2 linked regions of the Saccharomyces cerevisiae S288C genome follow. The main gene of each other region encodes a partner of the protein of the gene in region 2 in a complex. Each region holds a gene or a part of one and is shown on either strand. Other genes may lie near its edges. The genes, in order: BEM1 and CDC24. A codon is read from its position in the direction of its gene.

Region 1 (3,929 bases), on a different chromosome or scaffold from region 2:
ATATGGAAGCACAAAAGCATATTTAAGAATAAATATGTTCAGAATTTTTCTTGTAGTCTCTTCTGAATTTTACGTCAGCAATATAACTTAAAATACCTATAATTCATGCATTATGATTGAGTGGAAATATTTGGCTTTTTGTACGTTTTTTTTTACATGTGGTGTAAAATCTTTCATATAATTCATTTTCAGGTGAATTTAAGCTTAGGTACCCAACTTTACATTTGAAGAAAAATATAAATAAAAAATATTTCCAAGTGGTCTAAAAAGTTTAAGCAACTTTCTATATACATATATGTCCTTATTTATTTTTATTACAAATCACGCTGTTTCGGAAGAATTGGATACCTTAATATTATTACTGTTCGGGAGAATCTTATTACTCTCGCAAATCATCATAAAGTTGATTAAAATGTTCAACCTATGTGCATCTGCCAAGTAAAGAAGAAAAATGCTTCGTCTTCTAACACTAGATTCAAATATCGTGAACGGAAATTTTCAGTTTGGCTTGGATTATGTTACTGACTTGTGAATCAGTCTTAATTTCCTCCCCGCTACCATCAAATAATTTGGTTTGTAATTTAAAATTATCTGTATCAATCCTTGGAGCGATTTTACTACGAAGTTCTTTATAGGTTGTGTCACCCTTCAGCATTAAAGCAAAAATATCGTCTTTGTAATAAAATTTAATTTTAGTAGTTTTCAATCCAGAAGTTGATTGGGCTGGAGCCTGCTTGGAGCCCGATAAAGATAAATCTGAGAGTTTCTTGTTTAACTTCAAGTCTTCGCCAGTTAAAGTGTTGTCTTGGTTAGTTGAGGCAAAATTAGAAGTTTGAGATGCTGTTGCAAAGGTTGCTGTATCGTTTTCTTGTAATGTTTTAATATTGTTTTGATTTTCGTCTCTTTCAAATTCTCTGTCGAAACCATTATTCAAAACAACGAATAAGGAATGCACCATTTCTGAGCGAGATATATAATCGGGAAGATTCACTAGGTCTGCCACATATATATTCAAGTCCTCCTTTCTTTTTTTTGTTATGCTATTGGTAACGTATGGAACGGGTCCAGGGATATAGGGCATTATACGTTTGGACCATTGTCCACCTGCATCCCTCAACTTACCGGCCTCTGCTGGGAACGCATCCAAAAGTTGAACCTGCAGATCGTAGAAATCTTGATAGTATCTTTTCAGTTGCCTCGTCTTACCGTTAGATAATTCACAGCAAACCAAAAACCAATACTTCTCATCTTCTAACCCAAAGGATTCAACGGATGCTTTCACTAATAATTCACCGTCAACCAGCTTTGCGCTTTTGTTCTGAGGTTTTGTAATGGATTGCTGCTGCTGCTGCTCCACAGAACCAAGGCTAATATTACTAGCTTTGTATCTTGCAATGTTGCTTTTCCATTCTTGAACAGTTGGTAGGTTAACTGACTTGATGTCTTCTATTACGTCGTTACCTGTTGCGTACCCCGTGGCAATATCTATGATGCTAACAAACCCAACAGGAACAAGGCCGGGCCCTCCAAGTCGACCAATTGGCTTAGCAATGAACCATTCACAGTTATGGTGGGCGCAAATAAACAAATTCTCTCCCACATAAGTTGTCAACTCATCAGCTTTTTCTGCCTTAAAGTCATATAAAACAATGGCGTATAACGATCCCATGTTTAATGAATCATTTGTAACCTTCCGACTTGAACTATTGGATCCATTCACAGAGGAAGGTTTAGTTCTATCAAACACTTCAAAATAGGTTTTGGGGACAACACCCTCTTTTCCAGTAGAAGGATTTGAAGCTTTATACCAATCCTTCTCATCTCCAGATACATAAAAAAATTCACCTTCCATGAAAGATAGTTCCTTTGAAGTTTGTGCCTGATAACTGTATTTGGCTTTTATAACTTTCTCTGGAGAAGTAATATCTTTAGAATTATGTCTGTTTTTTGGTGAAGAGTCCCGTTGGCTTTTCACTGGGGTGGAAGATGAAGAAAGGTACCTCACTGGTACTGTCTTAATATGCTTTATAACACTCCCATTATCATGAGAAGGTGTGGAAATATCTGCGGATGTAATTCTGCCCTTCGACCCATTACTATCTCTTTTTGAGAGTTTGAAGTTTTTCAGCATTTATATGGCTTTCTTGACAATTTCTTTTCACACAGTGCTTTCAACGTGCATCCATATGGGTTTAGTATATTAGTGAAAACATATGCTGATTAAGATGGTACATCAAATTATGGCTGTATTGTCACTTTCTTTTTTTCCTGTTCGTAAATGAATGGGGCCCTTCGCCATTTGTCCGTTTAGGGTAATATTAGTTAAGAAGCCGTTAAGGCCCGGGAAGAATGTCGAATAACAATAGATAAGAGATATTGTAAAGTTTTTGGATTTCGGTTTACCATATTGTATTGAAATGATTGAAAATATAACGACATTATAATTCCATATTATCAAGTGACATTTTTGAGGAGTAGCTTTCTCAAACCAATAATACCTTCAACAATACTATCTACTGGCTGAGAAACATTTCATTTTCCATGAATGTTCACCTGTAACATTTTTAGGTTGCTACATTATAAACTTTTCTTAATTCCATAATATATATCTATCTATGTGCGTCCTAAATTAAATCATAAAACCCCAGATGTGATGCCGTTCTCGAAAGCAGCGGCACAAATTCTCAAAGCTAATGTCTTCAATACATTTCTAACTCTTCCTCAGACATAGAGTGTCTTATCCAGGTTGCCTGGCAATTTTGGTTGTCTAGATCACTCCAAGGAGTGAATTTGCCTGGTACACAATTTCCATTACACCTATCTGAATCTGCTGGACAAGTTGGACAGTTCGTGTACGGAGTATGGTGATAACCTATATCCCTGAACCAATGGATGCTTGACTTATCCGCAAATAAAGCAAGTGCCAAACTTCTTACAGGGGCATCACCCCACCTTTCATAGTAGAATCCTCCCTTTTCTTCAAGATATTGCATATATTTTTCATAAGGTTCTGACCTCAAAAAGTCTAAATCGACTATTTCAAAATTGGTCCAGAAATGACAAGTTGAATACCCTTGAGTATAATCATAATTTTTTGGATTTTGAGAGTTATCTTTTAGCCATGCGAAGGCTCCGTTGACGTTCAAATAGTTTGGGTGTTCCTCGACAAAATCCATAGTTGAAGTCCATAGCGTTTCGATGGTTTGCGGACTATCATAGAGGTTCAAAACAAACCCATAAATCTTGTCATTCTTGTTCATAAATTGGAAAACGTCATAGTTAATTTTGCAATAGAAATTCACGTTTGGCTCTAATCTCCACACATATTTATATTTAGATAGCAGAGGATGATGGTAAAATTCTTTAGAATAGAAACGACACATGTTATGATAGGATTCCACCTCTGCATACTGAATGTTCTCTTTACTCATTTTGTCCATTTCTTGGTCGTATCTCTCCCTATCTATGCTATCAGGCATATTCCAGTTATCTGGACCAATAGTGCCAAATTCTACTACACGGTCCTTAGGAAGAATACTTTTTATTCCATCTTTGAATTCGTCAGTAAATTCCTCATCGTTAAGGAAGGTATAGGGATATCCAAAATTCTTATTGTACTCCTCTTCTAGCTGTTGAATAGAAGAAATTATATCCTCTAAATCAGAATTTCTCACCAAACTCAAAATAGTTCCTTTTGCCTTGCCGGCTAACGGATCCCCGCTACGTACCAAATTGTCCACCTTTGGCTCAGAAATTTCTTGAAGTAAAAACTCCTCGTACAACTGTTTATTTTCAGCAAGGACTTCATTCGGGTCAAAAGTGTCCTTTTCATAAAGGGGCTCGTGTAGCCTGTCCATTATGCTATCTAACACCTCAGCATCATGATCAGGAAGTTCATCAGCGCTTTCAGTTTTACCTGTAATACTTTT
Region 2 (3,929 bases):
CTGCTACTACTATTGCTATGCCTCTTATGGTAACTGTGGTGAGGGCTGCCATTGTTGTCCGTTATGTTCGAGGCGGAGATTGATGCTGAGGTTGAGGATTTCTTCTTAAGGATTAGTGATGATGCAGATTTCTTAGTCACTACCTCTGAAAAAAGGATGATGATTTTTTCAAAAAGATAAACCTCAAATTCTCTTTCAGGTTCCGAGGAGCTATTTGTTGTTGAAATGAACACTTTATCGAAATATAATAACTCACCGAACTTGGAAATTCTATAACCCTTCCAGTTGACCACTCTACCATAAAGTTTCTTCACCACTTGATGATTTTCTGTTCTTCTTTGATTTTCGTTGATACTTCTCGCAATATTTTTAGAAATATCTAAAGCAGCTTCAAGTTCTTTCGTATTATTATCGTCACTCGATTCAGCAAGCAATTCTTTGACCAACAGGGGATATCTACAAAGCCTTTGCACGGGTTTATAAAGGAAGGATTGCAATTCCAGTTTATTGTTAATTATGAACCGCTGCGATTCATCAACCCTCATCTTGTGCAAAGTTGAAGAGAGAAATTCGATGGCTGCATTTTGGCCAATAGACCAAGGCTCATACAACTTAAAAAAATGTTTGGAATGCATGAAAAGAGCCCCGATTCTTTGCTTGGAAGGTTCTACTAAAGCATTTATTTCCAAGGATATTAGAAATCTTCTTTGAAAATCTATAGCATCACCCAAATTAGGGAACAACATGTACAACTCTTCAGACGTTATTAGATTGCTGTCTAATAACTGCTGTCTATATTTATCCAAAATTTCCAAATCGTGAACATATTTTCTTTCCGTTGCAACGAATTCCTTGATAATTTTAACATACTCGTTATGCTTCTTCGAAGACTGCTGAGGCTGATGTCGGTGTTGGTTTTCTGCGTTCATGATTTGCTGTGTCTTACTCTTAGAGGGGAAAATAGTAGGGCTGGAATTCATTAGCGTTTCTACTACTTCTAGCACTTTGACCAGCTGGGAAGTAGAGTTGGCAAAAACGTCGGATATAGTGAAAAGCTCCTCATCGTTAAATGCAAAGTGTTTCTTGCAGCCCAATATAAAGTCATAAATGGATTTTTTACAGACTTTCAAATCGTCAGATGCTATTACCGGTAATTTAAATTGCGGCTTCACAGAGTTGAAAAGTATACAGAGGGGCGCACCTTGTTGAAACAGCTGTGATAGTTGTGTCACAGGGTCGCAATCCATGGTAATGGGCAAAATACCCATACTAAAAGTCAGTAAAGTGTCCTCCATATTTGGGGTGGCCGAGGGATTCGAATTCGTGTATGATATACCTTCCATCGACATGAGACTGGTAGCTGTGGAGATAGAGCTAGACCTTAAAGTTGGTGCCAAGTCGCTACTGTCCCGGTTAGCGCCATTGGACTTGAGCAGTTCCTGATGCTGCTTTTGGGATAGCAAAAGAGATTGCCTTTCACTCAAAACCTCGCTCGATTGGTAGGCCAATTGTAAAAAAGGTTTGAGTTGAGGTAACACCTCCAGTCTTTTCCGGATGTTTGCGCATATATGGAACAGTGAGTCCTGTTCCGTGACAGGCTTGTTCATGACATTTTGCATGGGTATGGAGATGGAAGTTGCACTTGGTTTTGGTTTCAAATCGGATAAAGATGTGCCCGAGGCAAAACGGGTTTGGATCGCCATGATCTCTCGGGTTGGATTAGCAGACAGGTCTTGATAGGGCTAGGCAACAAATGATAACAGCAATGGTACTCTTCTGCTATCCTACCATAGCCACATTCTTGTTCTGTTTCTACCTTAAAGCTTCTGTTTTCCACTTCTTCCCACCAGTGCGTCGTTCTTCGCGATTATCGTACAATATGATATTTGTACAAGTAGTGATATACCAATTTCTATACTATATATATATATTATGTAGTAGTATGTAGAAAGGGCTCTTCCCTATGACAGTCTCTTCCTCTACTGGCTCTTCTTGCCCCAGATCGATCTCTGTGCTTTGTAGAATAGCTTGTCCATGACAGTGCCCACAGCTAGGACACCACCAATGCTGGTGATACAATTCAAGATGAAGCCCGACCAAGTCTGCCCGTGCTGTTCCTTATTGATGACTTTCAATGGAGACATTTCGAAAAAGACGAACATACCAGGGATACCACCCCTAACGTGAAGTGTGTTTGGATGATCCTTGTCCCTTCCACCGGCAAGAGGTCGGGAATGAAAAGTGGCGCTGAACTGCGCGGTCTCAATGACAACATTATCCAAGTACTCATATCTGGTGGGGACAATCTTGGCAAAATACGAGAACTGGTGAAAGTGTGTGTTCCTGTCCGGGAACACCTGGCGTCCGTCCAAGGGAGAAGTGGCAACTACGGCGCCGCCGTGGCGCTTATCGTTTCCTAACAACTTACTGTGGGACTGGATCGGCTTCCCAAAGCTCAAATGATTGATGATGTGGTTGAAGTTCAAATTCGAAGTCTTGTCGTACAAAGAAGTATCATGAAAATGTCCATATGCATTCTGGTAGGGTTTTCCAGGGGCAAAGTGAAGATTCCCCTGAATTCTGTTAATTTGTGCAGAACCTTTGATCCTGCAGCCTTCATTCAAGTGCTCGTTAATCTTGCTGACATAGCCCTCTCTTTCACACTGCTCGATATTCTTCCCGTCGAAAAAAGCCCAGCCTGCCTCCAAGTATGCTGATCTCACTGCATCACAGTCTTGGCAGCAAACCTTCTCTTCCTGTGCTAGATTCTCATTCTGCGACTGATCTTTGGCACCGTAACATGGCCCACAATAGTTAGGATCGTTATTAACCGGCGCGGTTCCGTCGCCGTTCCCACCCACATGCAACTCAGTAGCATCTCCCACGGGGCGACCCTCGCTATTCAACCTAGACATCGTGAACCCTGCGTCAAGAATGTCTAGTTGCATCTCTCCAGAGTCGTCCATAATATCGAGATTCACCAGGTCACATGGCATCGATGGAAATGTCACATCCATATTAAGCTCCAGCTTTGCGTGTCGGTCACGGTCCACCACCAATTGTGGCCTTGTTACCACAGAATTGAACTGTCCCCACTCGTTCACCAGCAGAAATAACGTGGTCAAGATGCACGATAAAGTGATCAGCCCGCCGGCCCTGGTGCGGACTCGTACGTCCTCTTCGGTCTTAGCGAATGCGTCCAGCGACAGCAACGTGGACCTTTTCATGATGTCTATTGTGTCTAGCTATGTGTGTTATATCACTGTCCTACTCCGCATGTATACGAGACATAAAACTAGCTTTCCTTTATAATGGCGTGGTTTCCACTCCATCTTGATGGAAAATCGCCGTTCTGATGTTCAAGTCGTATATAGTGACTTGATCTAAAAGTGAAAAGTTGCCATATTTCGATACCTTTTAACCGTTAGTACTTGACTGAACAAATGGTTAAATCGTGGCAAGAAGCATATAACTACCACTAAGCAGCGCAATGTCATCTGCAGAGATGGAACAATTGTTACAGGCCAAGACACTGGCCATGCACAACAATCCAACGGAGATGCTGCCCAAGGTGCTCGAAACTACGGCATCCATGTACCACAACGGTAATCTCAGCAAGCTGAAGTTGCCTTTGGCCAAGTTTTTTACACAGTTAGTTCTAGACGTGGTGTCGATGGACTCTCCAATTGCGAATACTGAGAGACCGTTTATTGCTGCTCAATATCTGCCACTACTTCTTGCTATGGCGCAATCCACCGCGGACGTACTAGTGTACAAGAATATCGTGCTTATTATGTGCGCTTCATACCCGCTGGTGTTGGATCTGGTTGCTAAGACATCAAACCAGGAAATGTTTGATCAGTTGTGTATGCTGAAGAAGTTCGTGCTCTCGCACTGGAGAACTGCATATCCTTTGCGTGCCACCGTTG

Evidence for each region.
Region 1: the proteins of CDC24 (region 2) and BEM1 are in contact, whole or in part, in an NMR structure (PDB 2KFK), measured with the Saccharomyces cerevisiae proteins. Residues at the interface, in NP_009359.1 of Saccharomyces cerevisiae: Lys817, Tyr818, Asp820, Glu821, Asp822, Asp824, Phe825, Val826, Val827, Gly829, Ser830, Glu832, Asp833, Asn835, Val836, Glu839, Met840; in NP_009759.3 of Saccharomyces cerevisiae: Thr478 (codon at 700), Lys480 (codon at 694), Lys482 (codon at 688), Tyr484 (codon at 682), Asp488 (codon at 670), Ile489 (codon at 667), Phe490 (codon at 664), Ala491 (codon at 661), Leu492 (codon at 658), Met493 (codon at 655), Lys506 (codon at 616), Pro509 (codon at 607), Arg510 (codon at 604), Lys543 (codon at 505), Lys545 (codon at 499).

Annotation. Positions count from the first base shown.
Region 1 is NC_001134.8:619,074-623,002, reverse strand, and holds BEM1 (phosphatidylinositol-3-phosphate-binding protein BEM1), read right to left. Parts: upstream 2,132-3,929; coding exon 476-2,131; downstream 1-475. Other genes in the region: YBR200W-A (uncharacterized protein), read right to left, coding at 1-20; KTR4 (putative mannosyltransferase), read right to left, coding at 2,700-3,929.
Region 2 is NC_001133.9:60,614-64,542, reverse strand, and holds the start of CDC24 (Rho family guanine nucleotide exchange factor CDC24), read right to left. Parts: upstream 1,704-3,929; coding exon 1-1,703. Other genes in the region: retrograde cargo receptor ERV46, read right to left, coding at 1,980-3,227; RNA-processing protein PTA1, read left to right, coding at 3,491-3,929. UniProt on the Saccharomyces cerevisiae protein: Promotes the exchange of CDC42-bound GDP by GTP. Controls the polarity of calmodulin, and the calcium regulatory process of bud emergence. CDC24 may be involved in the initial selection and organization of the budding site.